Linked DNA regions of Lonchura striata. The protein of the gene in region 2 interacts with the protein of the main gene of each other region in a biochemical or structural test. Links are inferred from orthologs where the notes say so. Each region holds a gene or a part of one and is shown on either strand. Other genes may lie near its edges.

Region 1 (7,563 bases), on a different chromosome or scaffold from region 2:
TGGGATGTTTGGCTGTAGGAGCAGAGCTTGCAAGAGCCACAAAGGAAATATTTTGGCAATGTTTTAGCAAAAGGACCATGCTTTGTTTCTAGGATTACACTAAAATTTATGTCCAGGAAGAAAATTTAAATAATCATAAGCACATAATTGATTTTCCCCCCAAACTATGATTGTTAAACACTTGAAATTGGAAATTATATTTTTTAGTCTACTCTAGGCTGTCTTGAAATTACTGATATCTTTAGTCCATCTCCCCTTGAAGCATGAAGGCCTTTTTCAGCTATTTCTGATTTTTTGCTTTTAATGATAATCAAAGAGTACATATTAAACCCATATAAAGTATATTTATTTAACAATTCTTTTGACATAAGATATTTTTATCTAAGTTGCATTATTAAATACCTGGCTGTATCACAACTACTGTCAAGCTATAGAACATCTAAAAGATATTTAAACATTAAAAAACATCATCAGCACAATAAATAGCTTTAATGATGGTTCTAATTTATAAAAGAAGTGGAAAGAGGTGGAGAACTCAAATCTTTGCCAGGTGTGGCAACATATGACATCCTAACAGCCTTGACTGCGCCATTAAGGTAGACATACACGAAAGAATGCAAAAGGAAAAATTACATGGTACTATAACCATTGAATTATATACTCATGACCTTTAAACCTGAACATAAATAAACCTAAGCTTGTAATTTTAAAGGAGTATTATGTAAGGTTTCTAGATTATGCTTACTCTTTAAAACTGAACATGGAAAAAAAAATTTTATGTTTTACTTTAAAAATGTCTGTTATTGATGCTCAACTGTTAAAACAATATCATATTATACTAATGGAAAGAAATTAATCTGAAACTGTAAATACGTTACAGCAGATCACTTGTATTTCTAGTAAAACTCTGCATCATTTGGCATTTTCTTTCAGTGTCTTTCAATCCGTGTTTGTGAGCAAGCAAGGAAAGGACCAGGAGAAGCTGCACGATGAAACCCCGCGTTAGAAGTCAGCTTTAAGCTGTCTGTGCCATCAGCTGGAGGGCACTGCAGGTGACAGGAGACAGAGCCTGTGCTACCAGTCTTTTGGCTTGTTTGTTGTGCAATGCTTCGGGAACGCAAATCAGTGTGAGCAGAAACTCTCCAAATACACACTGACTTCCTGTGTAATACATGTCCTAGGTTAATAAGTAAATTGCCCTGTTTTGCATAGCAAAGACTATGTAAACTTGGCGTTTGGTTTGGGCCTGACAAGCACAGTGGTTAGATTTTGATCCTGTGACAACAGGAAATGAATGGGTTTGGACATTTTGAAAAGCCTTTCCCTCCCTCAGACACAGAATAAGTTTGATATGGCGTTTATATACCTACAGTCAGTGTCTGAAACAACAACTCCAGGCCATGGTGCAGCACTAAACAATCACCCAGGCTGATGGGCTTGGCAATATTCAGCATGAATGTATTCAAGTCATAGCAACTCCTCTAGAGAGGCTTCTGCTTTCTTCAAGCAACATTTGCTGCCATTTCCACCACGTTGACTTCAAAGTAACAGAAATTAACTAATGTAACAAATTAGTTAATATAGCAATTAACTAATGTAACAGAAAATCACTGAGCGCTTACTAGAGAACCCGGCTCCCAGAATTCATCTGAAATATTAAATTGACTGAAATATGTAAATTTTCTACCTAAAACAAAAAACAATATTGACAAATCCAATTATTTAAGCATCTCAAACACAACGGGCTGAATTAGCCTTTGCTTGTCTGTATCACAACTAACCTCACATGGAAGATTCTAGAATTATAACTGCATTCCAATAAGTAACATTTTCTCATGTGCTTCCCAAATGTTCTCAGATAGTCCTAAATTCATGTTACATTTGACATTTCCTATAAATACGAATAGTTCTGACTTCCTCATACTAAGAAAAGACCTTCCAGAGATAATTTTTTAAAATCAGTATTATTATAAGACTTTCAAAATTTTTTCCTCTTCATGAGATGACAGCAGGTTTGGCCCCTGGACCAGAACCCAGATCTCATCTCATATTCAGCATTTGAGCTATCTGGGGCACTGTCCTTGGGAAATCAATGACTCCTTTTGTGCATGGCCTTCTCCTGCCTTTTTAAAGTCATCCTTCCACTTGATAGAGAATTGTTAAAATAATTTTAACTTTAGGGACTAAAGTTCCCTTCTTAACAAGCGAAAGTTTCTCTTCCTGTGAGCAAGGAATTAAAACTACCAATGCATATGCTATTGCAATAAAGGACACCCTGCTCACAACGTAAACCATGCACCACAACAAGGATCTTAATTCAAAAGGCTGCCATAAAAGAAAACACATTGCAAACTTTTCCCCACATCTAAGAAGCACAGCACAAGGACCTGCTGTTGCTGCTGCCAACAAGAGAAACCAGAGCCACTGAATAAAGCATTTCCTACTTTAGAAAGAAACTCCAGTGCTAGAGAGCATCGCTGACACAGATCAGGCAGCAGCTACGCAAGAGAAGAATCGGAGCAGGAGAGGCCTCCGGGCACCGTGCGCTTCCCACCGCCGCGACAGCCTCACCCAGAACCGCTTCTCACGCGGCTCCATTAAACCTTAACGCGCCTTAGCGAAAAACAACGAGGAAAGATCGTTTTGAGAAGGCGACACGGGTTTTGTGGGCACGAGGTGTCCGAAACGGAGCCTGGGAGTGAAGCGGGGGTGGGGATCGGAGCCCCGCTGCCGGCCAGAGGCGCCGCGGCCCCGCAGCCCCCGGCCCGCGGCTCTCCCGGGAGCTCAGCGGGCGCTCGCAGGACGCGGCCGCGGCGGAAAGCCCGAGCCGAGACCGCCGGAGCCCCGCGGGGCCGGGCGGCAGCTGGGGCGTCACCCGTCCTCCCGGCTCTCCCGGGGCCGGGAACAACACGGAGGCAGCGCTGGCCCCGATACGGCCTGCGCTGGGCCGGTCTCACCTGCGGGCTGTCCTCCAGCGTCTCCTCGATGGGCAGTTTGTCGATGCCGGGCATGGCGGCGACCGCGCTGAGCGCCCGCGGCTGCGCTCCCCCCGCCAGCCCCGACCCGCCCCCGCGCGCCGCGCGCCGGACGTCCCGCCCCCCGCGCGTCCCGCTTCCCCATTGGCCCGCCCAGCTTCCCCGTTGGCCCGCCCGGCTTCCCCATTGGCTGGCGAGCCTGCCCGTTCGCGCGCAGGCGCGGGGGCGAGGCGCTCGCGCTGCCCCTCAGGCCGGGGCTGTCGGGGCTCGCCTCCGCTGAGGTGGCTGCCGGGACTAAAGTCCTGCCTGCCGAGCAAAGCGTCCTCCCAGCCCTGTCTGTGCTCCGGGGGCTGCTGGCGTCTTCCCACAGACAGTTACCTGGAGGGCCGCTCCACAGCAAGGGAGCGCTGTTGGGTCCCTGCCGTTCTGGAGCGTCTTTGGCACTCTTGCCATGTTGTTTGGAGCACCCCTTTTGGCAAGTCTCCTCTTATCCCCGCCATGTGGATGGGCCCCAAGTGGACGCCATCCTCTTCTACTGTGCTTGCAGTGAGACGCCAAGAGGCCTTAAGCTGAGACAGGAGAGATTCTGATTAGATGTTAGAAAATAGTATCTCTGCTCTCTTAGACTGAATAGTTGTGGTGCCATAGGTTGGTGGCAAATTTTAAATGCATAAAACTACTGTGAGGGCTCACTGTAATCAAAACAGATCATTGGTTGGACTTGGGAACTGGTTCAGCTCTGAAATTACTTCGAATTGTAGAATCCTTAAGGTTAGAAAAGACCTGAGATCATTGAGTCCAACCCTTAATCCAGGAGCCCGTGTTCACCACTAAACCACGTGCCTGTGCCACATCCTCACATCTGGACACTTCAGGAGTGGTGATTTTCAGTGCCACCCTGCCCATGGAGAAACTGTTCCCAATATCCAGTCTAAACATTTCCTGGCACAACTTGAGGCTGTTTCCTCTGGTCCCGTCCCTTCTTGGACCTGGGAGAAAAGAATGATCCCTATCTGGCTACAACCTCCTTTTCAGGTAGTTTTAGAGAGCAAGACCTGGTAGACTTGATGATAGTTCTTATCTGGCGGGAGAAAAAAAAAAAAAAAAAAAAAAAAAAAAGGCTATTCCCTTGCTGGTTTTGCCTTTTTGGGGCCAGGTGAATTTAGTGAAGACCAGATTAGAAAGCATATTAAGTATATTCATTCAGCAGAGCAAATGATCAATTATTGTGGTGCAGTCTTGCTATGAGACCATTCTTTATGTTGTATCAGGTTATGATTTACCATTAAAAGCAGATAAAGGACAGGACGGGTGTGTTAAATTGCAAACAAAGATTTTTGAGGTGGCTTTTGTTTGTTTGTTGGTTTGGGTTTTTTAGGGGGTGGTGGGTGGTTTTGTTTTTGGTTGTTTTTTTGTTTTGTTTTTTTTTTTGCTGTTGTGTTCTTTGTTTTTCCCTGTAGGGAGTAGTAAAGAAATTTCCAATACTGTTCAGTCAATTAATTTACCAGCTCAGCTGGTGACTCACCTGACTGAAGCAAGTCACAGCACCTCTCCCTTTCCCTGTCAATAAGGGTAATAATTCAGTGTTATCTTACAAGGTGTTTAACAGACTAAGTCCTGTCATGGACATTAACATATCATGATGTATATATATTTGTGCTTTCTGGTTTTGAGACAGTTAATTTGTGACCAAGCTTTACAGCAGTCTTTACAGCAATAAGAAATTACTTTGTTTTGTACTGTAAGATCATTTTCCCAGTGGAATTCAGGAGGTAGTAACTTTAAGTGGGTTTGGTTTAGTTCGCTTTGTGTATTTACAGCTGTGAGTGGCATCCAAGAGTTTTACTTGAGCTACAAATTTGACTGCAACAAATGTAAGAGTAATGAGTTGAAGAATCCCTCTGCATCCTCTAATTGTTGTTTTAGTGTTACACCGTTTTCAGCATTGTAGACCTTTTGTTAGTGTGAGTGGGGTTTTTTATTGTTTGGGCTTTTTGATTTGTGGAGTTGGGTTTTTTGTTTGGTTTGGGGATTTTTTTGGGCAGTTGTTGGTTTTTGGTTGTTATATTTTGTTGTTGTTGTTTTTTCTGCAAAATATCTTCTAAGAAGCCTTAAAAATATGGAGAATTAATACTTGGCACTTTGTCAACAGAGAGAAGAGCAGTGAACATGTCTTCAGAGGATTCCAGAGGTGTGCCATTATGGGGAGAACATTTTGCCTCTGCTGGAGGGTGAAAGTAGCTCTGTGGATAAGGTAGGTTTTATTTGCAACGTTTCCCACTTTTTAACACACTTTCTTATACTTTTGCTAGTGGCAACCTTGGATTAACCTTGAATTTAGCTGCATTCACTTAATCTTCCTGTGTCAAAGTAGCTTTTACTTCAAGAAATAGCTAACTGCTTTGTTTTGTGAAAATTGGTGTACTGTTTTGAGGTATTCTTGCTTTAAAAAAACTTGGGAATTCTGAAGTTGGCTTTGAAAATAATACTTGTTATTTGTGTTAAAAACATATTTGAAAAAGAGCTTTATTGCAGCATGACTTCTGAGGTGGTGAAATACTGGGTAAAGAGGTTGTGGGAAAGGTGAGGTGAAAAGTGAATTTTTGGAGTGTGATAAGTAATCAAGAAAGATAATATATACCATTTATACCCTTTTAAAAATCTGAAAATGTTGCCCAAGCTCTAGGGAAAGGTGACCCAGCAGTGCAGTAGCAGTGGTGAGAAGAGCAAAAAGCAGCAAGAGTAAGAACTGGGCCTTCAGACCAAAACCCCAAGAGCACTGGTGTGGTTTCCTCAGCTGGAGTAAACAGCTGGTGGAGGCTTCCCATCTCTGGAGAACGAGACTCCTTCTCCTAAAGAGATGAACTCCACTGTCCCTGGGTGAAAAACAGTGGTGCAGAGTCTGAAAGGGAGATTAGTTTCCTGCCTCATCAAGTATGTGATGCTGTAAGAGGATTGGATTTGCATATCCAAAGGAGCAGTGCGTTTTCCTATTATTGATTACTTAGGATTCCCAACTTAATGTTTGCTGTGTTGCTCTAATTACCCCTACCAAGGTATTTAGTTAAAGTCTATAGGTAATTTCAAATGGGTTGCAAGGTAGTATTGGTCAATACTAATGGGCCAAACAATGAAATACAGTTTCCAAGAGAAGGCTTAAGGTCCATAAATGGTGACTGGAGCTCATCTTGCAAGCGAAGATTGCAGGCGGATGCATGCTGCTTCAAGATCCATTGATATGTGTGAGAAGTGTCCTTGGTAAGATCACTTCTGGAGTTGTCACTCTTTTAATAGTTCAGTTTGACAACAATCTTCCTGCACAACACAAAGTCAGGCCAGAAGGTGGGGTTACTTTTCCTCCCAAAATAAAAATATTGTTTTCATTTTTGCCTGTTACTTTTGGACAAATCTTGATTTTATAGTGTCTCTACAGAAATTCCTCCTTTTCTTGTCCTGAACCAAAAGCTGGTTTAGAGCATGTGATGTAAACTGCTGTGTGACTGACAGTTGAGCTTGAATATAAAAATGTTATAGTCTGTATTTTATTATAATGGATGAAATCAGAATTCTGTCAGATTTCATTGCAAAGACTTTATCTCCTTTCTTCCCATTACTCATAATTGTTTTTATGATTTTAAGTGTTGGCTCCGTACGATTTAAATATGCTTCTGTTTGCTATAAACCTACAAGAAGGGAGAGACATCAATGAGAAAAAGCATGCTTCTAAACCTGTAAATTTGAGTGTACTACTTCTATTACTTGAAACTTTGCCTTTATGTAGTGAAGAATTATCAGGAAATTTCATATCTGCTATGTTTCAAAAAGGCTGCAACAAAGTTATTTTAATAAGAAAAATGAATGCATGAATTATTTAAAATAGTTGGTGCAACTGTTCCTATTAACTAATCCAGGCACTTGGAAGGCAATTACACTGAGCTTTGACAACACTGCCAACCCACTGCACAGTGCCTTATGCCAAAAGCTATTGTTGTTTTATTGACCACGTTCACCATTACATATGCATATGAAAAAACAGAGGCATTTTCATCGGGATTACCCTAATAGCATTAAGAGATTATTTTTTAAATTTCCTTGGAAGGAAATTCACTTAAATAAGATTACTTATTACTTGACTGGTTTCCTATCATGCTTCTATGCTTAGGTAAGTGGAGTCCATTAGAGTATAAAGTTTTTTAAAAAACTGATTTTATACATTAATGATTTCAAATAAAAGAGAAGTACTATATTTGTGCACAGCTTCTTTTGAGAAAGTGAAGTCGATGCTCTGGTTAGGAGAGATAACACTCTTTGTCCCCCTTGGTGGCCCCCCTAGTGTCACCATTAGTTGCTAATTACTTGCAAACAAATAAACAATTAACTCCTCGTGCCTCTTGGTGGGAGAGTTTTCATTGACATGCTAAAACTTTCTAATAAAAGATTTTAATTAATGACGTTACAAATCCAACCCCCTTGTCAACATGGCTATAAGGAGGACTTGTGGAGAAATGCAAGTACAGTACTCCTGCTATGCTGGCTGAGGGCGAAGGCATGGCCGGTCCCTCGCTGTGTGCTGCCACCACGGCGGCCT
Region 2 (7,183 bases):
TCCACTTGGGAACTAAAGAAGCTCTCATAAAGTCTTAGTGTGTTCAGTTCTTTTCATATTTCAGTTATATTTGTTGTTGCCTGAAGTTTAGAGCATTTCTGCAAAATAAAACAATAATTTTTGGTAGTTTAATAAATAAAATTATTGGTTATGTCTTGTGATCCATTAATCTGTAAGGTTAAACTTCTATCTAGTAAAGTTGTCAGAAGGGAGATCTATGGAGAGGGAGAGCAAAGTACAGTAGTGTAAAAATTAGATGGTAATTATAGGGTACAGGAAACTGGGACTTTTTTATCCCAGAATAAAATTCAGGAAATGGAATTTTTGTGTTTGTTGTATTTCTAGATGGCTCTCTACCTGTGCTCAAGGTGGTACCATTTTTATACATTCTGTGCATTGCTGATTTATTTTTACCTTGTTTTTTCCCCAGCAGGTGGCCACACTTGCTAATTGAAATCATCCACTCAGCCCCAATGGAGTGGGTTGTGTTAAGGCATAAAAATAGGACTTGGATATGTAAAAAGAGTGCCTGTTGCAGAAACAAGTAGAGCCTATTTTTTTTTTTTTTTTTTGCCTCTATGCTTCTTTCCTTTTTTGCAGAAACATGGGTCCCTATAAATCAATTTGAAACCTACTGACAATATACATTCCTTCCTATAATTCCTCTCATTCTGGTATCAGTGTCATATCCATTCTTTCTTATACTGAAAGTTATTTTGGCCACAGAAAGAACATTTGTGGAGTAGGAAGGACTTGTAATTTTAAAGATAAGATGAAGCATTAACAAAAACCAATTGAACTCAATTTTATGGGAAAAAAAGATTAAAACTTTCTTTACTTAAGCATGAATTTGTCATCTCCTATGTCAAAAGTAGGATCTCTAGAGAAAGCTGTTTGGAAAAAGTTGAACAAAATTTTCCATTCCACAGCAGCACTTCTTTTCCTCAACAGTACTTGACATTTCACAAGTTTCTGACATCCAATTCCCACAAGCTCATGCATTTTTTTGTGTTGTTTAGGCTAAAACAGAGGAATGGAAACTGTCTAAACTCCTGCATTTTACTTTCTTTATGAAGCGCAAGCACCCCATGTTCTGCAACACAGCTCTCACTCTGACTATGGTGCTGGCCTAGACCAGAGTCAAAACACTAAGTTTGTAGGTTCCTGAAGGTCTCTGAAGGCCAGAGGAGTTCATGTAAAACACTCCAAATGTTGTGAAACATCTGAATTACATCAGCCATGCCAATGCACTTCACTGTTACTGCCTGGTTGCTTTCATAGTTTCTTATTCAATACATTTACAGATAGGAAATTACTGTTTTCTATGTGCTGCACGCTTTCTGTATGCAATACGCAAGCCAATATAAGTGCAGAGAAAATGTACACAAGTAGAGATAGGAGACTGAAAAAAAGAATGTCATAGGGAAAAAAAAGAGGGGGGGAAGTTCAAACACAATGAAGAGATTCTGCACATAAACTGCAGAGAAATGCTAAAATAGATGGAAAGCCACCTGGTGAAAACATAACCAACATAAATTTATTAATATCACCCAGCAGTTTCACTTTTGGAATGTGATATATGAACCATGATGAAATAAAATATGAAAACATGACCACAAGTAGGGGCTATCTGTGTGATTTCAGAGCTTTCCTTCAACATCTTTTTGTGCAGACTACAAGATAAGAAACTTGTCTTCACCACTAGAACCCACAGAGACCTGTCAAGCCTGAAATACAGTAGCTGGAACTTGGTCATTTGATTACTGCCACATTCTCTCATGCCTCTCTTTCACATATTTCACACATTCACAGTGAACCTTTGGTGTTTACTGTCCTACTCTGTCAGCATCAACCACATGAGAACAATTTAGGCATTTCACAAAGTGAGAAAGACATGCTACAGCTCTGCCCTGCAGTCAGAGAGTTAAGTTAGCCAGCAGGAACCTCCTGCATGCAAAACAGGCTTCCTAACAGCAATTATATCATGTGAATAGAATTCCTGCATAAAAAATTTCATTTAGCCTTGAGCTTCAGATACATCTGACAATCTGAAATATTATTTCAATTTTATGAATGGAATTCATATTAGAATTATTATTTATGTTAGAAGCATAGAAAATGATCCTTACATATAGAATAGTATGGTCCTTTATTTTATAGGATTAAGTGAAACACAAAATGTCATGTATGATGTGTTTAATCTCTAAATTGAATTTAGTTCAAGTTATTCTAAAGATTCAGTGTGATATTTTTCCACAAAAACTGTTCATGTATGTACTGTGTCTGGCTGAGGCAGAGTTCATTTTCTTCATAGCAGACTGAATGGTGCTGTGTTGTGGATTTGTGACTAAACTACTGTTGGTAACACAGCAGTACCTCAACTACTGCTGAACAGTGCTTGCACAGAGTAAGGACTTTCTCTTTTTCCCCACTTTGTCATCAGCCCCACCCAGGAAGAAATGCTGCTGATGGTCCAGAAATGTGGGAGTGGAATACAGCTAGGACAGCTGACCCAAATTGATCAAAGGGATATTCCATCTCACACAGCATTGCAATCAGCAATAGAAAATGGAGGTAGACAAAGGAGATTGTCTTCCAAGGTGGCTGCTGCTTGGAGACAGGCTGACACTGTCCTGCTTATGGGAGGTAGCCAGATATTTCCTTGCCTTTTAACTTCCACTTTCCTTCATCTATCACACTGTCTTTATCTTAACCCACAAGTTTTCCTGCTTTTGTTCTTTTGTTATGTTCTCTGTCTTACTGCAGGGAGGTGAATGAGGTGAGTGAGTAAGTGAGTGAGCGAGTGAGTGAGTGAGTTGAGTGAGTGGCTGCCAGGTTGACTGGATGCTGGTGCCTGGTGCTCCAATGCATGCATGTCAGGTGTGTAGTAAAACACATTTGGTTATCAGGAATCTGCTGTTTGCTCAGCAAATCCTGCAATCCAGTTGAACATATTGAGACCAGTCAATGGGTTATGGCAAATAAGCAGTGTACTAGGGCAGGATTACATGAGTTAAAGGACAACTCTTACAAACATTTAGGAAACTCACAGCTCAAAAAAGTTTGTATACTTTACTTAAACAAACATGTTTCTCTGGAGCTAGTCTGGCATTCTACATCACTGGTGAATGCAGACTATTTTACTTTTTTTGAAGTTACATATTGGCCTTTCACAATGCACTTACGTTAAGTGATTAACTTCAACTTAATAAAGGAGAAAGGGGAAATTGTTACTCTGAGACCAAACTGGTACCAGTGGAAAAGTGTATGGAAAAGAAGAACTGATGAAGACTAAAAAAACAATCTGTTTTCATTCCATTCACTTCAGTATGTTCAAGTATTTATATGTGATACTAAGGAAGGGGAAAGCAGCGTAACACAAACCACAGGCTTTACCCAACTTGATTTTTGCTTCATTTAAATATATGTGGTTGAAATAAAAAATATATTTTGAGAATGCAACAATTTGATTATTTCCTGTGGTGGAGTATCTCAACAATCTTCATTAAATTGTATCAATTACCAAATACCATTATTGATACACTTTCTAAATGTCTTACAAGTTGGTTTGTTTCTTTCTTTCTTTAAAATGCCAACTCTTAGACCTTGTTAAAGCTGCTATACTGAAGAAATGCTTATCATTATTGTTGTTTCCACTACAACCCACTTACAGCTTGTGGCCAAGTGGCCTTTATGCTGCTTTCTCACAAGGTCATGCTTTGTGCTATGAAGCAGTCAAGACTTGTTCTGGGCTTTATCAGAGACTGCTCAAAAAAGGTAAATTCCCGATGGCAATGCAGGTTTTCCTATGTAGTTCCTCCTTTCAATTCATTTGACTAATAGCTTTGGAAACTGGTTCTTTGAGAGGATTAAACCAGGACTTGTCTGTGTGCGTGATACCCAGCTCCCATCCCGCGCTCCTCAGTGGCCTCCTCAGGCTGCAGTGCACCCCCTGAAGCATCGGCAGAAACTCACGGAATAGTTCGGGGTGGCAGAAACTCACGGAATAGTTTGGGGTGGGAGGGACCTTAAAGATCCTCCAGTCCCAACTCCCCTGCCTTGAGCCGGGACACCTCCTACTCCAGCAGGTTGCTCAGAGCCCCACCCAGCCTGGCCTTGGAAACTGTCAGGGATGGGGCGTCCTGCATTTGTCTGAGCAACCCGCTCCAGTGCCTCACCACCCCCACCGTAAGTGGAAGATGGAGGAGGCGCGGGTCGCTCCCAGGGACTCTTCCCGCAGCGCTGGGGAGAAGCGGGAGACAGGGAACACCCTACAGCCGAGTGCGGCTCGGCCGGGAGCGGGAACAAAGGGAGGAGGGAGAGGTGGGAAGGGAAGGGAGCCACGTGACGCGTGGCGCGGGCGCACCGGAAGGGCACGGCGCGTGCGGGCGTGACGTGGCGGCGGCGGAAGTGCGTGCTGTGTGTGTGTGAGCGTGTTTTGGTCGGGGCAGAGGCGGCGGCGGAAGTCGGCGGCGGGGCTGGGTGAGGCACGGCTGCGCCCCCGCCCCTCGCCCCCACCGAGGAGCCGCCTCCCCTCTTACCCCTCCTCCGCCCACCCTGCTCCGGCGCGCCCGCCGGCCCCGACCGACGCGCCCGACGGACGGACGCCGCTGCGCCGCCGCCCCGGCTCCCCCAGCCCGGCCAGGTGAGGAGGCGGAGGCGGCGCGGGGGGGCTCCGGCGGCGGCGAGACGCGCCTCGTCCGGGCTCCTGCCGGCAGCCGCTCCCCCGGCGCTGCGGGAGCGCCGTGCCGCGGTACGGGTGGCCGAGGTGGGCAGCGCGGCGTGCGGAGCGGGGACGCTGCTCTCTCCTTTCCCGGCTCAAAATGGCGCCCCCGGTTTTCCCACTTCCCCTTATTCCTGCGCCTGGAAGGGAGCCGCGGGGGAGGGGAGGTGGCGGCGGGGGATGGAGGGGCTGGGCCCGGGAGAGCGGGGATCCTCCCCTATGTGCGGGCGCTCCTGCGGAGAGGTATCGCTGTCTGGGGCCGGCCCTCAGGGCTGTGCCCCTCGAGTTGCTTGTGAGATATGGAAGGGGAGGTTGGGTGGTGGGTCCCTCGCTTTCCCTTTCGCTTGCGTCTGGAAGAAGGACGGTGAACTAGGTGGGAAGTAAAATGCTCCCGAAAATGCGTCGCCATCGGGGGGATCGCAACAGGCCTAGTATGCTGGGTATCTTCTGCATCGCACGCAATTGGAACTAGACAAAGCTGGGGTAGGGTGGAGGACCAAACCTAAGCTTTTTGTGCTTTAGAGAAGAGCTGAATTGCATGAGAAGTATCAAAATGTTCCAAACGGGGCCATGAAAGGCTGTTCGCTCGGCATTTGTAATGATTTTTTTTCTACCTTATACCTCTTTAAGAGCTTGAGGATGGTAACGAGAGGCTAAACAGCAAATTAAGCAGCTGAAATTAATACATTTCTTTCATATAACATTCAAGCAAAGTAAAAATCGTAGTATTTTTTATTTTTTCCAGTTTTATAGTGTCTGTTCAGAATTACAGTCATGCTTACCTACAGATTGCTTGTAGATATTGTTCTTCCATAATGAGAAATGTCAGGAAGAGGTAGATGTTGGCTGAAGTGAGGTAACTAGAGACAATGGTATTGTAGTCATCACTTACATTTCCTGTATGATAAACCAGTTTATCTGAAAGCAATTGCTACCATTCATCATTCAGATGAGCTTTTGAGATGGCTAATACCTTTAATTGTAGGGCTGTGATTTTTTTGCAGCAACTGTGTTGATGCACTTGTTTAACTTAGTCTCATTATGTTTCTATGTAAACTGGCTTACATATTGCAAGCATTTTGCTGGTTGTCCCTGTCACTGTCTTGAACACTACAGTAAGGTATCACACTAATTCTGCTGAACCTAGAAGAAAAATTCAGTTAGTAGGACTGGCTAATGCATAAGGCTTTTTACTTACTGACTTTTAAAACATTCAAGAAAGTCCAGTATAAAAAAATTTAAAGTAGATAATAGTTGCAGCCTCACCATTGTATGCTTTATGTCTGTTAATGCAGCATACAAAAGTTTAGCAGTAAGAACAGTGTTGTTTGCTATGGCATATAAAAGTGGTGGAATGTTCCAGTTTTAAATTTATCATGAATTTTTTCCTGTGGCCTTTCTATTTGATAATATGTTTAATCACATTAGTTGTAGGAACAGTACTCACTGTCTTAATCTCTTCTGGCTGGCTTTTGTCACCAGTGTTACTTTGATACTTCTTATTAGCTGTCTTGTAGTTGAAATAGTCCAGTGCTTAAGCTTGCATGACTGAATTATGCCATTAAATTGAGGGTTTGTGGGTATTGGCTGGGGCTGTTCGTATTTTGTACAGAGGCTCAAGCATAATAAGATTTGTGTTTGATCTGTTAAAATACTTAGTACTCTTTCATAAATAAAACTCAGACTGTCCAACAGCATACAAATTTCTCTTCTGGAGTGAGGAGAATATGCAGCATACAGTAAATTAGTTGGTGGGATTATGAGGAGTACTTAGCTCATAATATACTCCAGGCTTTGTGTTCTGGCATTTCAGCATGGACCTGCTCAGTCATGGGGGGGATATTCAGAAGAGTGAAAGTTCCTACTTAGCATAGTGACCTATGTATTTATACCGCCCAAGACTGCAAAATGGAGTTTTTATGTTAAACTCTATAAAAGTAAGAAAATCTCCCTCATTTCCATCCATCTGAAGCCATCTGTCTCAAAAAATTTTATATTTGTTGGACAATACCCTTTTCCTGACCTGGAGTTGGGGCAACTGAGAGGCATTTTAAAAACCTTTATTCCATTTTCAGTCTCATGAGAACGGTGAGGCAATACAGTTATTATAATTCACACCATCACAATCAGAAGCTATTTCCTAATTATAATAGACCATAAGTGTTTCTTGGCCTATCAGCTTTTTGTCACGCCATGCTGTAGATGCCTTAAAGCCAATCATCTAAAACTACCCCTCGTGCATCCCAATACAGTGCATCTTTCATAGTTCTGTTTCTCCAAAGTAAACCCTTCTGTCAATCCCTAAGAAATCTCTACAAATCCATTTCCCACATAAAGTATTTTCTTTAGCAGATTTTTATACTAGTAGATCACTTCCATAACTCCCATATGTATCTGTTTAAGAGCTGTTTCAAGCCAAACAGTTGTGTACTTGCCTATGTGTAGGTGAATGAAAATGTC
Region 3 (7,883 bases), on a different chromosome or scaffold from region 2:
TAACTGATTTAAGCCACTGCTTTGGAGACACAATCCCTTTCACTGATCCATCAAATCACATGCCAGATCCCTATGGTTCATCTTCTCAATGCTCATCAGAGAGCAGTCTCACTTCTATAATGTTCATAAACCTTCTCCCTAAATTTATTCTTAGCTAATATTTACACTATGATTGCTGCTCAAATAGTTACAAAGTCAAAAGTAAAGAAATATACAGAACTCAGACCCTGCAGACCCAAAGGACTTAGTCCCTAGTCTGTCAGCACCATAGTGCAAACTATCCCAGGATCCACAAAAGATTCCTTCTCCAAAAATAACCATAGTATTTCAGTCATAGTACAGGCAATTGCCAATAGCAGTATTTGTAATTACAGGCTCATCCTTTACAGCTTATCCTTGAAACTCTACAAATGTAGATTTATATTCAGAGCAGTGGAGTTTGTTTATTGTTTGTTTTTTTAATCTGTTTTTTTTTTAAGTAAACCCCATTTTAATAAGAGGTGATTGCCACCTCAAATCCAAGGAAAAAGCTGACAGTTTAAATTGTTAGATAATGTTTTTGTCAAACATGCAAACTAACAACTACTTTAAGTGTAGCCCAAAAGCTAGAGATTTTATATACTTATAACTTTTAATGAGTGGATTATCTTTTTTGTAAAGTGACAAGATGAAGCTAGTTGCACAGAGGTAAACACAGATTAAGCAGATCTCAGCAGGACAGCAACAATAACATGATTAACAGCTCCCTGAAGGGTAGTTCGGGTAACGACTCTATACATGTCTTTTCTTCTCCCCATTAACTGTGTTTTCCCCACACTCCACCCAAGGGATCGGCTGCTCAAAGAAAGTGTGCAAACCATAACCCCCTGCTAGCGAACACAGACACAATTCCAAGCCACTTAGGCAATACTGTAGCACTTTCCCAATTCAGATCAAAACTTATTCCCACTGTGTATTGCTTTCCAGTTCTCCTACCTACTTCCTGGGGCTCCCACATGTATGGATCTACTCCACCATAGCTGAATGACTCATATCGTTCCTGAGATCCAGAATCAGTTCTGTCATCATCTTGTTTCAGCAATTTCTTCTTTGCTCTTTTGGCCTTCTGGACTAGATCTGAAAAAAATAAACCCAAGTTATCTGACATATCAGGTAGTCACCAAATATTTGTCATGTGAAGCCAGTATATTCATCTTCTTTTAGCAGAAACCTTTCTTCTGGATAAATTTATCCTCAAAACATTCTTAGAACAAAAATGCAGTTCAGAGCAACACAGATGACACAAAATGCTCTCTGCTGTCTGTCATAAAGCAGCATGAGGTCCTAAGGACAAGACAGTAGATTAAAACATTCCATTGTCAGACTTCACTGTAAAACAGCAACATGTCTTAAACTATGGGACCTATCTCACTGCACAAAGCATCATATAGTTTTATCTTAATTCTCAAAATTCCCTATTATTTTCTTCAGATTCAAGGACGTCCAACACATTCCTTGTTTTATTGCACAAGCTACCAATTTCAGTGTGCTTGTACACATAAAGACTTTTTCAAGTACTAAACAGCCCAGTGTTAGGGTTTCACCACGAAAATTGGTTAGTACTTCAAAAGTCTATCTCAAGAGAAAAACAAATCAAGACTGCGAGGCCAGTACTTCTAGCATACTAAAACCAGAGTTTGCAGGAAACATAGAGAATTATCGCCAGATTTTAAACATTTTAAACATTCTTCTCTCAATATAAAATGACATTGTATACATAAGGGGGGTAAAAAAAGGGAAATATCTTAGTGAAACAAAATTCAAAGAGATTTTCCAAATACTAATGAAGGGTGGAACTCCCTAACAGATATGGAACACTCCCAGCACTTCCTGCTAGTTCCACCACCCACATGCTTTTCCATGTTTTTCCAATAACAACCTTTCTTAACTTCACACTTTAACTGCAACCACAGCTTTATCTACTGTCAAAACAAGAGATTAATGAACTGGAACCTGGTAAGTACCAGAGATTCCCCATATTCTCCACAGTCTTCAAGTAAATCTTGGGTATTCACTGGGTTAGTATAATTTTGAGTTTTCAAGTAAAAACAAACAAAAAAGCCTAAAAGATCAACAGTAAAACTCGTGCATAAAAGCAGACATTTGTAGAGCAATGTTCTTTAGCGCCTACTTTAGAATAATTTATGGGAAGTATCGGGAGAAGGTTAGTACTATGCTTGGCCCAAGGAGATTTACGGAAGAATGGAACTGCATACCTCGCCTGTAAGTCCCTCCAATTGATATTTTATTATTGTCAGACATTTGGGAGCACTCGAAGTACGAGCAGGGATTTCCCACGGCCAAGCCGAACGCATTTACCGCGGCCGCCCTTACTTCGGAGTTGCGCCCTGACGTCCCGGTCTTCGCCCGGGTGCTGCTCCTCGTAGTGCGCCTGGAGCTGCCGGAACGCCTGGAGATCCTTCAGGCACAGCGGGCACAGGAAGCCCTCGCGCACTTCGGTCGGGTCCCCGAAGGCCGCCGGGCAGCCCGACGCCATCGCGGCCTCGCCTGCTGCCCTCACCGACTGCAGGGATGCGGGGGCCGCATCGTCCTTAGGCACTCCCTGAAACGAACCAGGCCAGGGCCGTGTGACCCGCGGCGCAGGATGCGGCGGGAAGGGCCCGGGCTGGGCGCGAGCCCCTCCAGGGGCTTCCCGCCGGGCCCCCGCCCGGTTCCTCCAGGGGCTTCCCGCCCGGTTCCTCCCCGCCCGGTCCCTCCGCGGCCCGGCCCCGCCCCGCCCGGGGCAGGAGAGAGGCTGCGCAGGGAGATGAGCGGGGCTTGAGGCGATCCGCCCGCCTGGGGAGAGGCCGCTGAGGGCTGCCCCGGCTGCCTCAGGGTCCGTGGCCCAGCGGCAGCCCAGGGACGGCCCGGGAAAAGCCTGGGGCAGGGCTCGCCTCACCTCAGCGCCCGGGCGGCCGGTGACTATCTCCAAAACAGGGCGGCCGCGGCCCGGCCCGGCTGCCGGGAGCGGCAGAGCGCGGCGGAGGGCGGGGCGAGGGATGAGCCATGGATGGGAGGAAAGGGCGGGGAGAAGGAGGGCTCGTCCGACGCCGCGGGGAGGCTGCCGAGCGCAGCGCTGCCGCTGGCGGTTGGGAGGCGGCAGCGGCAGCGGCGTCTCTGCGGCCGGCGCTGGTCGCCGTGTCCAGCCGCCTCGCAGTAGCCCGGGGTAACGAGCCCGCAGAGCTGCGGTGACAGAGTCCCCTCCAGGACGGGACGGCGCTGTCACGTAGGGGACATGCGTCCCTCCCCGGTGCCCTGGGGCCGTTCCCATAGCACTGGTGGGTCTATGCTGTGTGTCCTAATCGCTGGGCACGTTCAAGAGGAGCACCGTTGCCAATGTCAACACGCTCAACGTTCCCTTTCCCAGCCTACTGAACGTTCCTAAAGGAAGTGTCCCAAAACTGCAAACTAGAGCATCCGGTGACGTACTTAGCCACAAAGAAGCCCAGGAATCCTACTACTTGCCTCCTGACAAGGAGCTATGTAAATCAACGGCAGGGCATTTTTCGTGTCCCCTTTCTGATGCCAGCTTTTGTTTAGTCTGAGCTGGCAGCAGTCCCTTCTCTCACACACTCCCAATCAAATAGAAACAATAGGAGTGTGTAATCACACATCGGCTTCGTGTGTTAGGATTAAAGCTCTTGGAGGCAGAGATTTTCTTACGTGGCGATGCTATTTACACTTGAGACCTGTCCATTAAAGGTGGACTTTGACTCATCATGCCCTGCACTTCTACCTTCCATATTATGACCTTTAAAACCTTTTCAGCACGGATCGTGATGGGGTGAGGAAGAAAAGAAGCAGCCTGAGGCTCAGTGTCTTCGATGATTCACGTGCTGTGGTGTCATCCCCCTGGATTTGCTGGAGCCGGGTAGTTTCCTGGCGGTGAGCCATACCTGTGCCACACAGTGGCACCAGCTGCCTTTGTTGTTCCTTGCTCCTTTTGTCCTCAATTGAGGCCAGTGAGCTGTAACTCACTGAGTAGTGGAAGAACGCTACAGCGATACACGTCTCTAGAAGAACTGCAAGAGCCATGTAGGCGCAGAGCTCTTAGGGAGGTTTCTGTTGGTGTTTCAGTTTTCTGGTTCCTGTTACATGCGCGCGATTTGTCATGAGCGTGTAGGGAACGGGCAGAAAAGGGGGTGGGTGAAGGATGGGAGACGTGGCAGTCACTAGATGGCGCAACAAGCACGTCTGAGAGCAGCCGAGGGCCCGTGGCGGCCTCGGCCGTGCGTTACAGGCGTTTGCTGTAAAGGTTTTTCTCCTGCCTGTGTACTGTGAGCCCTGCTGACCCGGGTAGTCCATCCTCTCTTGCCGTTCCCAGGTAGTAAAAATCAGGTATGTAAGGAAAAGCGAACTTGTACAGAACAGCAACCCTTTGGTCAACCCTGTCTCTCCACAGCGTCAGTAACTGCTCTTTTTCAAAAATAAAGTGCTAAGGATAATTAAAATGGTAAATAGAACAATTGAAGTGTGGTAGCCTCCTGTTGGGATACAAACCATGCAGTGAGGATTGCCTGCAGTGAGTTGTGAGGAGGATGATGGCATGCTGGAGTGTGCACAAGAAATCAAACATTTCACTGTATCTTCACTTAATTGTGCTCCTTTGCATGTTTCATTTGACCACAGATATGAGAACACATCTCACCAAATTAATCTTTTTCAGGTACTGATAAAACACCATGTGGTGTCAATCACTCTTGAAAAGAGAAATTTCATTCTACATTTTTAAAGAAAAATGCCACTTGTTTGCCTGTTTCTGAATATAAGTGGACTTTATCCCTTCCTGAGAAACATGTTCCCCATGAAATGACTGCACCTGCTCAATATGACTTGGGTCTTTATGAGGGTATTAGACTTACTGTGAATATCTTGGAGACAATTAGAGAACTGATACTACAAAATTATGCCAGATGCAGTGATATGTGGAATGGTATCAGTTTGCTCCCAAAGGGAAAATTGAGCTTCTGTGTCTCTTAACAGATGTTGAGCATGATCTAGTTTTTGCTGGTGTAAACAAGAAGACTTTGGCTGCTGTTATTTGGTCAGGCTCATCACACTTCCCATACAGAGAGTGTCTGCAAAGTGAAAACATCCAGATCAGTCTAAAACGATTCAGTTTACAGTGCTTCAAAAATTAATTTGTCTTCATCCAGCTAGTTACAGTAGGAAGAGGTATTTGGGGACAAATTAAACCTTACTGCAATTCTACAGGTTCTCTTTGAGACTGCAATTGTATCAGTAATGGCTCACAGGGAATGAATGCAAACAAACAGTAGTGCAGAAGTACTCTCTCCAGCAGCAAAATCAGACCTTTACTGCCCATCCTGGCACTGGGATATAAAAGCTCAGCCGACAAACCCTGTATTTGTTAGGTAACTCCTCCTCTGATGCAGTCAAGGTCCTCTGCAAACAGTAAGAAAGTAAGTGGTAAAATATGCTTGTGTGATAACCCTTAACTGTGAAATTTAAGACCTGGTCTGTTGCTAAATTGGTAATTGCTACTGATGTCCAGGAGGAGAAATTTCAGTGGGCTGAATTTCGGAATACAGCTGAGAAGGGGGGCCCAGTTAGCCCTGTAGCCATGGCACAGCTCAATAAGAAATATGTTCCAGTTGGGTTCATCTGTGTTCTTTGACTTCTTGTAATACCTTCAGTACAATTTGGAATGTTTAATAATGGAATTGGACCTCAGTATAGGAGAGGTAAATACAAATGATGCCTGTCTACTTCTCAGGGTATTCAAGTGGGATGTTTTTCACAAACATAGTGGAAAAAATGGTTTAAAATACCTGAAATTTAACAGCATTGAGTTCAATATAGACTTTCTAAACAGAGTGTAAGCATAGTGAAAAATCAGACTGTTCTTGGGAAAATCAGAATGTTCTTTGTAAATATTCCCTAAACAAAATAGTCACTTAATTTAGTTTAATGTTGTTTTCTAAATTTGCCTAAATTCAATTTCATAATTTAATGATAGTTTTTTTTAAATTAATTTCAAATTTCCTAATATTGAAATGGATAGCACAAAACTCAACTGATTATGTTAATGATCTTTGATTTTAATTTTTCAGAGAAGATGTTTTTGTTTGTTTGTTTAGGTGGATCTAGCCTAAAATTTCCTGTATTTTTCATTTTGTTCAGAGAACTAAAATTGTTGCTGTTCATTTTACCAAAGCTCATATATTCAATATACTCAAGTTACTTATACTAAACATTTTGATACATAACAAATCTGTTTAATTAGTCTGTGTAGACAGGCTAGAAGCTACATTTCCATGCCAAATCCATGGTTTTTACTGTGTTTGCAATCTCATCAATCCAAATGGTTTGTAAGAGCAGCAGCTGACTATTTATTGAGACCCTTTTATCTGATTTGTTGATTAACTGCTTTGGTACCTGCAAGCCAGTCATCATCTCAAGTTTATTTGGTCCCTTAACACTGCTGAATAATCTGTCATATTGGTCCTGAGTGCCATGGAGTGGCAGCACTTACATAAAGTATGTAAATTATAAAGAAGAGAGACGGGAGGATTCACAATTCCTTTGCATTTACATTTAATTTAATGATTTAACTGCAAGAGCCATACACTGTGATGTCTGGATTCCATTCAGGGCTCATTTCAAATGTCAAGTACACCACATTTGGGTGCTGTCTCTTCTAGCCTCTCATCTTCTCTTTTGTCTACAGACTTGTGCAGCAACCAATGCCCTTCTTGAAGATGGCATGTCTAAAAGCAATAAGTGGAATACCCCCACCAGTTGGTATTTGACAGGGAATGATTTATGATTTTTTTTGTAGGGTTGTTGTTGCTCTCTTTTTCAGCACCACTTGCTTGTTCAAAGAGATTACTTTTTGTCTTGACTGTTTTGGCTCAGAAAACCCTTCATAAATTCTTACTATATTTTTCATTTGTCTTGACTTTTCTCCTCTTCCTCTTGTTTTTTCACAAAGCTTCTTCAGACACTCTACACAGTACCAGCTTCAAAATCAAGAGGGAATTCAAGGTGGAAACATATGATTCTCTGTGAAAATTACTTTAAATCAGCAATCATATTTCAGGCAGACTCTTAGATCACTTCCCCTAGTTGTCTGAGTTATAACCTAACATTTTTCCCTATAATAATCAGTCTATGCTGCATCATATGAATTACCTCCACTATAGAGAGAAGATGGCAATGAACTAGCTATGGCATGTTGGATCCTCGTTTACCTGAATTCCATTTTGTAGGAGTATTTGTGCAATCTATGAGTCCAGATTCCCCCTCTTTCCAATGCATATGAACAGGAAGAAAGTCAGGAAATGTTAGCTATGAGAAAGGTGTTACTTCAGCCAACCCTTCTGTGACATACTGCTGTCTTGTCTGGATCACCAGCTGTCAGTTTAATCCACAGTGTCTGAAATAAGTTCAAGAGCTGATTTCACCTTTTGTCTGGGATCATTCCATTGTATTGGTATCTGACATGCCCCATCTCTATCAGAAACAGGTATCCTGCTCTAGCATACTAATACAATTCATGATCTAGTAACACTCCTTCAGCCAGTGTTCCTTCCATCTCATGGAAGCAGACAAGGTCAATTGGCTGGTATCTGACAAATGTCCTCTCCTTGGTTTCCTTCTTAGTACTTTTAAGCTGTATTGGTTTCATCAAGGAAACAAAGCACAAATGTCTACACAGAGGTCTAAAAGTAGTCTTAAGGCAGGTACATTAGCTCATTTTTCTCAAGGAGTTTCCCATCTGGTTTTATTGAAGGTCTCTCTATCCAGCCTTTCCTCCTTACCCTGCAGAGGTGTTCATGCTGTTCTTGGCAGAAGGGGAAGTGAGGCTTCTGCACTCCCAT
Region 4 (7,654 bases), on a different chromosome or scaffold from region 2:
GACTTTTGGGCTGTACCATCCTCACTGGCCACTTGAGCTGCAACCCCTCACCAGCTACCAGGGTCCAATCCTGGGTGAGATCCAAGCTCACAGGAGAGATCCTGCAGCTCTGTCCTTCCCTCCCAGGTCTCACCTGAAGTTGTGCAGGTTGATGTAGGCCTTCTCCCTCTTGGCCAGCACATGTTTGATGAGCCCCTCTCTCTGCCCCGACTGTGTGCTGGGCAAAAAGATCTTGCGCATCGTGTTGGTCACCTTGGGCTGGTCTCTGGATGTGCCTTCTCTCTCCCGGTGAAATCTAGGAAGGAAGCAAGAGCAGCACTAGAACTAGTTCTGCTGTCTAGGAAGAAAAGTAAAAAAGGGAACAGATCCCTTACTGCTTATTCTGAGGGACAGGAGGAGGTGGGGGTTCCCGTCGAGATCCCGTCTGGTGGTTTTGCATGTTTCTTTTCTCTTCTAGGCTCAGAGTGTTGAAGTCATCCTCAAACCCCAGAGCTCCTGTAATGAAAAATCCAAGAAAAACACCCTGAGAAACAATCTGAAACAGCTCAGATCAAGAAGGAAAAAATGTAACCAAAAAACCAAACGAGAGTAGGAATACATCAACTGTGTGACCCTGGAAATGGGAGAAAGGGGCACTAACCACAAGGCAAGGCAGGAAGCTCAACATACACAAACCAAGGGTGAAAATAGCACTCAGGAAGGAATTAACAGACAAGGAAGCATGGCCAGACCCAGATCCCACCCTTGGCACCCCAGAACTGCACAGGCCCCGGAGCAAAGTCAACTGTACCTGGAGATAGACCTGTAAGGCTCTTCTCCACCTGATGCCAAATGGCTGAGTCCTTAGGTTCAGGAAGAGATGCTTTCAGGTGGGCTGGAAAAAATCCATCCCTGTCAGTCACTGCTGGCAGAGGATTTCACATGCACAGGGGAGACTCTGCTCACCTTCCTGTATGCTCTGCACTTCTGACAGGAATCCCAAGCAGCGCTCCTCGTCAGGGATCTCAAAGAGCCGCTCCGGCGCCTCGTCACCCTGGATCCGGACCTTGCAGCCTGCTTCAAACACACTCACTGAGTCAGCCCAGGCTGCCTCAGAGCCCCCAGGCTTCCCACCCAGCTTCCAGGTGTTGTTTGTTTTGGAAACCTGCACCTCCCTGCACTTCTGAGGTCCCCCCACACTGCTTGGGATATCCCCAGCACATTATCCTGGCTTTAGGAATCCTCCCTACTGCAATTTTGAAAACAAGAGCTCTAAAAGCAGGAAAATAACTGCAAACATTTTGACCATTTGCATTTCAAACCTTGTCTGTCATGACAAGCCAGTGTCTCACAGAGCCAGATGACAATGTCAGAGGGAAAACAATCCCTGTTTGAGCAGAGGACAAACACAGAGCCTGGGGGAAGACTGGAAGGCAAAACAAGCACCAGTGGCTGTTCCATGACAGGACCTTTAGCTGCACCACTACCCTTATGAAACTTACTGTTTGTAGCTATATCAATCAGCAGAGTTTCTTCTGCCTCTAGAAAAGAGAAAAACATGATCAGTAGAGCTGACGCTGGATGCTGCAGTAATTGAAGACTCATATAATTACACTGCCTGCTGCCAGCCATGAGAGAGTCCTAACAGGAACAAAGAGCTCTAATTTACATCTGTACATTCCTAACGGTTCTGGCAGAGAGAACCTGGACAGTCACCTCCCAGCAGGGAGATTCCCACCACACAGTTCTCATACATCTGGCTGGTTTTTCCCCATCAGTGCAGCTACTTCAGGAAAGACCAACTTGACAAGGAACTTCAGAGCTTCTCTACAGAGCAAAATCAGGGGCAGAACATCCTGAACTGCACACAAGGGAATGAGTAAATTCAGGAAAAAGGACTTTTACTCCTTACAAAGATTTGCCCCAGGACCACTTGCTGCTATTTAAGTTCTTCCAAAACAAGGCCTAAAGCCCTTCCTCATTCAGCACGTGGGATGCTGAGAGCTTGGTAGACCTTAGGAAGTTTAGATGTAAACATGCAGGATAAAGCAACAGCTCCCAACTCTCGGCAGAGCAGAGAAGTCTGAGAGACCGACACCAGCAGACAGCAAATTCCAGACCCTGAAACCAGATGCTGCATGTGTTGGCTCTGTGTGATGCCAAGCACACCACGCACTGGAGCCAGCCAAGTTCCTCACAAGTTCATGCTGACATGGAATGACAACCTGCTTGAATGAGGAACAAGGGGATGCCATAAAATGTGACTTGCTGCTTCACAGAGAAAGGATTCAATCCGCTGTGGCTCGGGAGACAGGTCAGGAAACACCATTAAATTTAAGGTTTGTGGATCAACAGCAGGGGATTCTCGACCTTCCCCCCAGCAGTCAGTACCTTGCACACACTTAAAACGGCTGTTGATGGGAATATAATCCGGATCAGAGTTTTCTTTCTCCTGGGAGCGAATAACCACCCTGCAGACAGAAGGAAGGCTTGTAAAAACCCGGCAGGAACGCACACAAACAGGAGCTGTGTGTACAGAGACACAACGTTTGATTTTTATCGCTAAGCTTCTGGGGCAGGAGTTGAAAAAGGCAACGAAGGTGAGATCGTGCAGGACGCGGATACCCCGGGGGAGAAGGAAGAGCTGCTGAACTCTCGCTGCCACGGGGCAGGTCCAACACCGGGCTGGCAGCGGCTCTGGTTACCGGGGGAGCATCGGGGAGCCGGGAAGGCACCTCCGGAGCGCCGGTCCCGCGGGGTGAGGGGACCGGCCGGGGGAGCACGCAGGGATGCCGAGAGTCACGGCTGTGGCAGCTGGGCGCGGAACCGAGCCCCGCCGCGGCGGCACCGAGCGAGGCGAGCCGGGCCCCGCCGCGCTCGCACTCACTCACCCGTAGCGGCCGGCCCGCCGCTCCAGGCCGAGCACGCACGGCTCCCGCCGCCCGGCCCGCACCTCCGCACCAGCAACGCTCTTGGCCGCAGTTAAGAAAACCTCCGGTCACCGGCCTGCCCCGCCCCACCGCGGCCCCCCGCCCGCCCGGCCCGCCGCGCGCGGTGGATACGAGCAGGCCGCGGCCCGCGGCGCGCGCCTCCATGGCAGCGCTCGCCCTCCGCCGGCTCCGCGCTGCGCACGGCCGCGGAGCGCCGCGCCGCCCGCCGCCGCGCCCCCTGCTGGCGGGAGGTCCCGCCGCCCGCGCCCGTGACCGGGAGTGCGCCGGGGGCGGGCGGACTTGTGGATCTGCCGGGCTCCCCCTGGATGTCCCACACCTCGCTTCCCACCGCGCGGCGGGAAAGGGACCGGCCGGGACCGGAGCTCGTCCCGGTGTTTGCCCCGACCCGCGAGGAGGCGCGGGCAGCGCTCGGCCCCGCCCCTTTGCCCGCCCCCGGCGTTGATTGGCTGCGGGCGGTGGTGATTTACATGTGGCGCGGGGCAGGCCGGGAAGGGCCGGGTTTGAAGCGCAGGGCGGCAGCGCTGGCGCCATGGCCGCTCCCGGGCCGCGAGAGGCGGCGGCGGCAGAAGAGGAGCGGTACCGGGGGTGAGCGGCGACGGGGCTGAGCGGCCGCGGGCGGGCGGGCTGGGGCTGGGGCTGGGGCTGGGGTTGGGTTCGGGGTTGGCGTTGGCGGGCCGGGCCGGGCCGGCACTCCTGGGTGCAGCCCGGGCCTGGCCACCCGGTGCTCACGGTGACTCCCACAGGCTCGTGGCCAGCGCGAAGGCGGCGGCGGCCGACGGGGACCTTGAAGAGGCGCTGCGGCTGTTCCGGCTGGCGGCTGCCATCCGCCCCAGCGAGAAGCTGCAGAACCGCATGCGGCGGGTGCAGGAGGCACTGGCGGCGGCCGAGCAGCAGCAGCAGGAGGAGGAGGAGGATGATGAGGGTTTCGTGGACGTGTGCGGCAGCGGCCTGCTGATCTACGGGGAGATGCACAGGAAGCTGTTCCAGCACCAGCGGGAAGGTGTTGCCTTCCTGTACCGCCTGCACCGGGAGCGCAAGCCTGGCGGCATCCTGGCAGATGACATGGGCCTGGGCAAGACCATCCAGGTGATTGCCTTCCTGTCGGGTATGTTCGATGCCGAGCTCATCCAGCACGTCCTACTCATCATGCCCACCACCCTGGTCAGCAGCTGGCTGGCTGAGTTTGCTCGCTGGACCCCCGGCCTTCGCGTCAAGGAGTTCCATGGCACCAGCAAGACAGAGCGCACCAGGAACTTGGAAAGGGTCCAGAGGAAGAACGGCATCATCATCACGAGCTACCAGATGCTCATTAACAATTGGAAGCAGCTGGCCAGCCGCCATGAGCAGGAGTTTGTCTGGGACTACATTATCCTTGATGAAGCACATAAGATCAAGTGCCCGTCAAACAAGACAACCAAGTGTGTGTATGCAATCCCGGCCCACTACCGCATCCTGCTTACAGGCACCCCTGTGCAGAACAACCTCCGGGAACTGTGGTCCTTGTTTGACTTTGCCTGTCAAGGCTCCCTCCTGGGAACTGCCAAAACTTTTAAAATGGAGTATGAGAATCCCATTACCAGGGCGAGGGAGAAGGATGCGACTCCAGGTGAGAAAGCACTGGGGCTAAAGATATCAGAGAATCTCATGTCAATTATAAAGCCTTATTTCCTCAGAAGGACCAAGGAAGACATCAAAAACTATCATACCAATAAAGCTGATCCTACTCTTTCTGAGGATCCAAGTGAGAACAAGGCTCCTGTCATGCCATCTCTCACTAGGAAAAATGACTTTGTCGTGTGGGTGTACCTGGCACCAGTGCAGGAAGAAATCTACAGGAACTTTCTCTGCCTCGATCATGTGAAGGAAGTACTGATGATGAACCGATCACCTTTGGCTGAGCTGACAATCCTGAAGAAACTCTGTGACCACCCCAGGCTTCTGTCTCCAAGAGCCTGTACCCAGCTGGGCTTGGAAGAGGAAGAGGAGGACTCCGAGCAGGATTACAGGATGGAAGCAGTTATGTTTGCAGGCAAGAACAAAATAGATCATCTCTCTGATGAGACTGTGATCGAGGAGTCTGGGAAGATGCAGTTCCTTGTGGGACTGCTGGAGCGGCTGAGAGAAGAGGGACACCGAACCCTGGTGTTCTCACAGTCGAGGAAGATGCTGGATATCATAGAGTTCGTCCTGTCTCGCCGACAGTTCCAGATCCTGCGCATCGACGGCACGGTGACCCACCTGACGGAGCGGGAGAGGCGCATCAACGCCTTCCAGAGCAACACCACCTACTCTGTCTTCCTGCTCACCACACAGGTTGGGGGCGTTGGCATAACCTTGACAGCGGCCAGCCGAGTGGTGATCTTTGATCCCAGCTGGAATCCAGCAACTGATGCTCAGGCTGTGGACAGAGCTTACAGAATTGGGCAAAAAGAGAACGTAGTGATTTACAGACTGATCACCTGCGGCACCGTGGAAGAGAAGATATACAGGCGGCAGGTATTCAAGGACTCGTTAATCAGACAGACCACCGGTGACAAAAAGAACCCGTTCCGTTATTTCTCCAAACAGGAACTAAGAGAGCTCTTCATATTGGAAGATACTCGGACATCTGCAACTCAGATCCAGCTGCAGTCCCTGCACGCCATGCAAAGGAAGTCTGACCTGCAGCTGGATGAGCATCTTGCTTACCTGCATTCCTTGGCAATGTTTGGCATTTCTGACCACGACCTGATCTACACAAGGGAGATGGCTCATGAGGAGCAGGTGGAGAGCGAGGAAGCCCATCAGTACATCCAGCGGAGAGTACAGAAAGCCCATGAGCTGGTCCAGCTGGAGTCCCAGCTCAGAGATCAGAGGATGGAGGGGATCAGGAATACTTGTGAAGAGTTGTGGCAAAGACCATCGGGATCAGTTTCCAGGCCAAAGAAGTTGTCTCCAGGGTTGAATGACAAAAATAATTTTGTTTCACCACCAGTAGCTGATGCACAAGAAAAAGACAAATTTATTGATCTTACAGAGGACGAAGAAGCCCAGGTGCTCGATGTCAGCTCCAGAATGGCAACTCTGACTGTTGGTGACTTGGATGAAGAGCAACTGGCACAAGGTGTGTCCAGTATGGAGACAGAAGTGCTCAATACCAGCAAGACAGCAGAACAATCTGATCAAGAACAAGCAGAACAAGAATCTGAGCAAAATCCTGAATCTAACATTATACCATCATCCCCTGCACTCGAGAAAGAGAGTCAGAGCCTCCAAGAGAAACAACATTCGCAGGTACATTCAGACAGCTCGGCCAAGACAAGGAATGACCTGTCTTGGCATTGTCACAATTCCTCCCAGTCTGGCATGGCTGATCCTAGAAGTGAGGCAGAATTGTCAGTTCAGATACTTGACCCACACAGTGCCCTGGGGACAGAGCAGAACAATGATCCTGAGCCGGCTTCTGCAGTGCTGAGTTTAAAAAATGCTACACCAGAAGTCAATGCTGAGCTCTACAAGTCTCATGTGCTAGAAGACAGCTCAGAGGCTACATCTGCTCCTTCTTTCCAGGATCAAGTTGACTTCAATCTGGTTTTGGAAGAGTCTGAAGAGGAATGGCAGGATGCCTCAAATAGAGGAGGATCAGTGGAACACCCTGAGAAGGAGAGCTTACAACTCCAGGCAGAAAGCTTGTGTAAATCTCCAGACAAAGAATCTCCAAACAAAACTTGGCCAAGTGAGACCAGTAGCCATGGCAAACCCTGTCTCACAGCTGAGGAAGAGCCAAATGCCTCCCTGCAAGAGAGTAAATCATTGGAGGAAAGCAGTGGTCTCTTTATTTCTAGTAGGAAGAAACGCTTAAACAGAATTTCTTCAGACAGTGAGAGTGAAGAGCAGCCTGAACAAGTGCCCTCCTCTCCCTTGGATAGCATTCAGCACGGACGTCTGGAAGGAATTAATGCTTCCACCCCTAAATATGACACAACAAGAGCTAAAGCCATCTTTTCTCCCCAATTAAATAACAGTGGAAACAGGTCTAATGCTTCCAGGCGCTCATTCATCAGCAGGTTGGTAGATGAGGTGGAGGACATTGGGGAAATCATGGGAACCACTGATGAAGAAGATGATGATGATGATGATGATGATGATGAGGAGGAGGAGGAGGAGGAGCAAGATGGGCTTGTGGAAGATGAAGCTGAGGAGTGCACTGGGGAATCTGCTGAGCCTGAAGAAGAACCTGATGGAGAAACACTTGATACAAGTGAAGAGTCCTCTCACACAGACAGTGTGGAATCTGAGCAGTCCGAGGCAGAGTCATCACAGGAGGAATCCACAGGTGACGCTGAGCTCCAGTCAGATGAGCAGATTGACTACTTCACCCAGCAAAGCAGCTCTGAAAAGGACATTGGGCAGAATTCCTCTCCTGCTGCAGATTATGACACTTTGGTACAGAGTGGGAAGAAGCTTCAGAATGATGGAAAACTCCAGGAGGCTTTGGACTGCTTCCTGCAAGCTCTTGACATAAAAAGTGGAGATCCTGAAGTTATGCTGCTGACTCTGAACTTGTACCGACAGCTGGCCCAGAAGTGACATGTATGTGGCTCTGTGAAGAAAGTCTGGCTGTTCCTTGTGGGTCTGCACCATGGCCCTGGGATCCCTGAGCCAGCTCCGGGCTGATGCCTGCCCTATACTCATGGGAATGAGCAAATTCATCACTTCCTGCTTGAGGAAACAGCCCAGACATC

The links.
Region 1: the proteins of RAB5A (region 2) and APPL1 form a complex in vitro, tested with the Homo sapiens proteins (2 studies listed by BioGRID and IntAct, with this or other methods). The link is inferred for Lonchura striata from reciprocal best matches to the Homo sapiens genes RAB5A and APPL1.
Region 3: the proteins of RAB5A (region 2) and RBSN form a complex in vitro, tested with the Homo sapiens proteins (3 studies listed by BioGRID, with this or other methods). The link is inferred for Lonchura striata from reciprocal best matches to the Homo sapiens genes RAB5A and RBSN.
Region 4: the proteins of RAB5A (region 2) and OCRL form a complex in vitro, tested with the Homo sapiens proteins (2 studies listed by BioGRID and IntAct, with this or other methods). The link is inferred for Lonchura striata from reciprocal best matches to the Homo sapiens genes RAB5A and OCRL.

What each region holds. Positions count from the first base shown.
Region 1 is NC_134614.1:12,167,018-12,174,580, reverse strand, and holds the start of APPL1 (DCC-interacting protein 13-alpha), read right to left. Parts: upstream 3,074-7,563; 5' UTR 3,012-3,073; coding exon 2,958-3,011; intron 1-2,957. Other genes in the region: HESX1 (homeobox expressed in ES cells 1), read left to right, coding at 7,503-7,563. UniProt on the Homo sapiens protein: Multifunctional adapter protein that binds to various membrane receptors, nuclear factors and signaling proteins to regulate many processes, such as cell proliferation, immune response, endosomal trafficking and cell metabolism.
Region 2 is NC_134603.1:120,168,212-120,175,394, reverse strand, and holds the start of RAB5A (ras-related protein Rab-5A), read left to right. Parts: upstream 1-4,108; 5' UTR 4,109-4,188; intron 4,189-4,409; exon of another isoform or gene 4,410-4,645; intron 4,646-4,707; exon of another isoform or gene 4,708-4,768; intron 4,769-4,945; exon of another isoform or gene 4,946-4,966; intron 4,967-7,183. UniProt on the Homo sapiens protein: The small GTPases Rab are key regulators of intracellular membrane trafficking, from the formation of transport vesicles to their fusion with membranes.
Region 3 is NC_134614.1:24,097,010-24,104,892, reverse strand, and holds the start of RBSN (rabenosyn-5), read right to left. Parts: upstream 3,038-7,883; 5' UTR 2,939-3,037; intron 2,603-2,938; 5' UTR 2,537-2,602; coding exon 2,374-2,536; intron 1,117-2,373; coding exon 976-1,116; intron 1-975. UniProt on the Homo sapiens protein: Rab4/Rab5 effector protein acting in early endocytic membrane fusion and membrane trafficking of recycling endosomes. Required for endosome fusion either homotypically or with clathrin coated vesicles.
Region 4 is NC_134616.1:15,209,761-15,217,414, reverse strand, and holds the start of OCRL (inositol polyphosphate 5-phosphatase OCRL), read right to left. Parts: upstream 3,098-7,654; 5' UTR 3,075-3,097; coding exon 3,042-3,074; intron 2,951-3,041; coding exon 2,871-2,950; intron 2,451-2,870; coding exon 2,371-2,450; intron 1,521-2,370; coding exon 1,482-1,520; intron 1,057-1,481; coding exon 946-1,056; intron 875-945; coding exon 791-874; intron 496-790; coding exon 375-495; intron 296-374; coding exon 134-295; intron 1-133. Other genes in the region: ERCC6L (DNA excision repair protein ERCC-6-like), read left to right, coding at 3,460-3,515, 3,674-7,499. UniProt on the Homo sapiens protein: Catalyzes the hydrolysis of the 5-position phosphate of phosphatidylinositol 4,5-bisphosphate (PtdIns(4,5)P2) and phosphatidylinositol-3,4,5-bisphosphate (PtdIns(3,4,5)P3), with the greatest catalytic activity towards PtdIns(4,5)P2.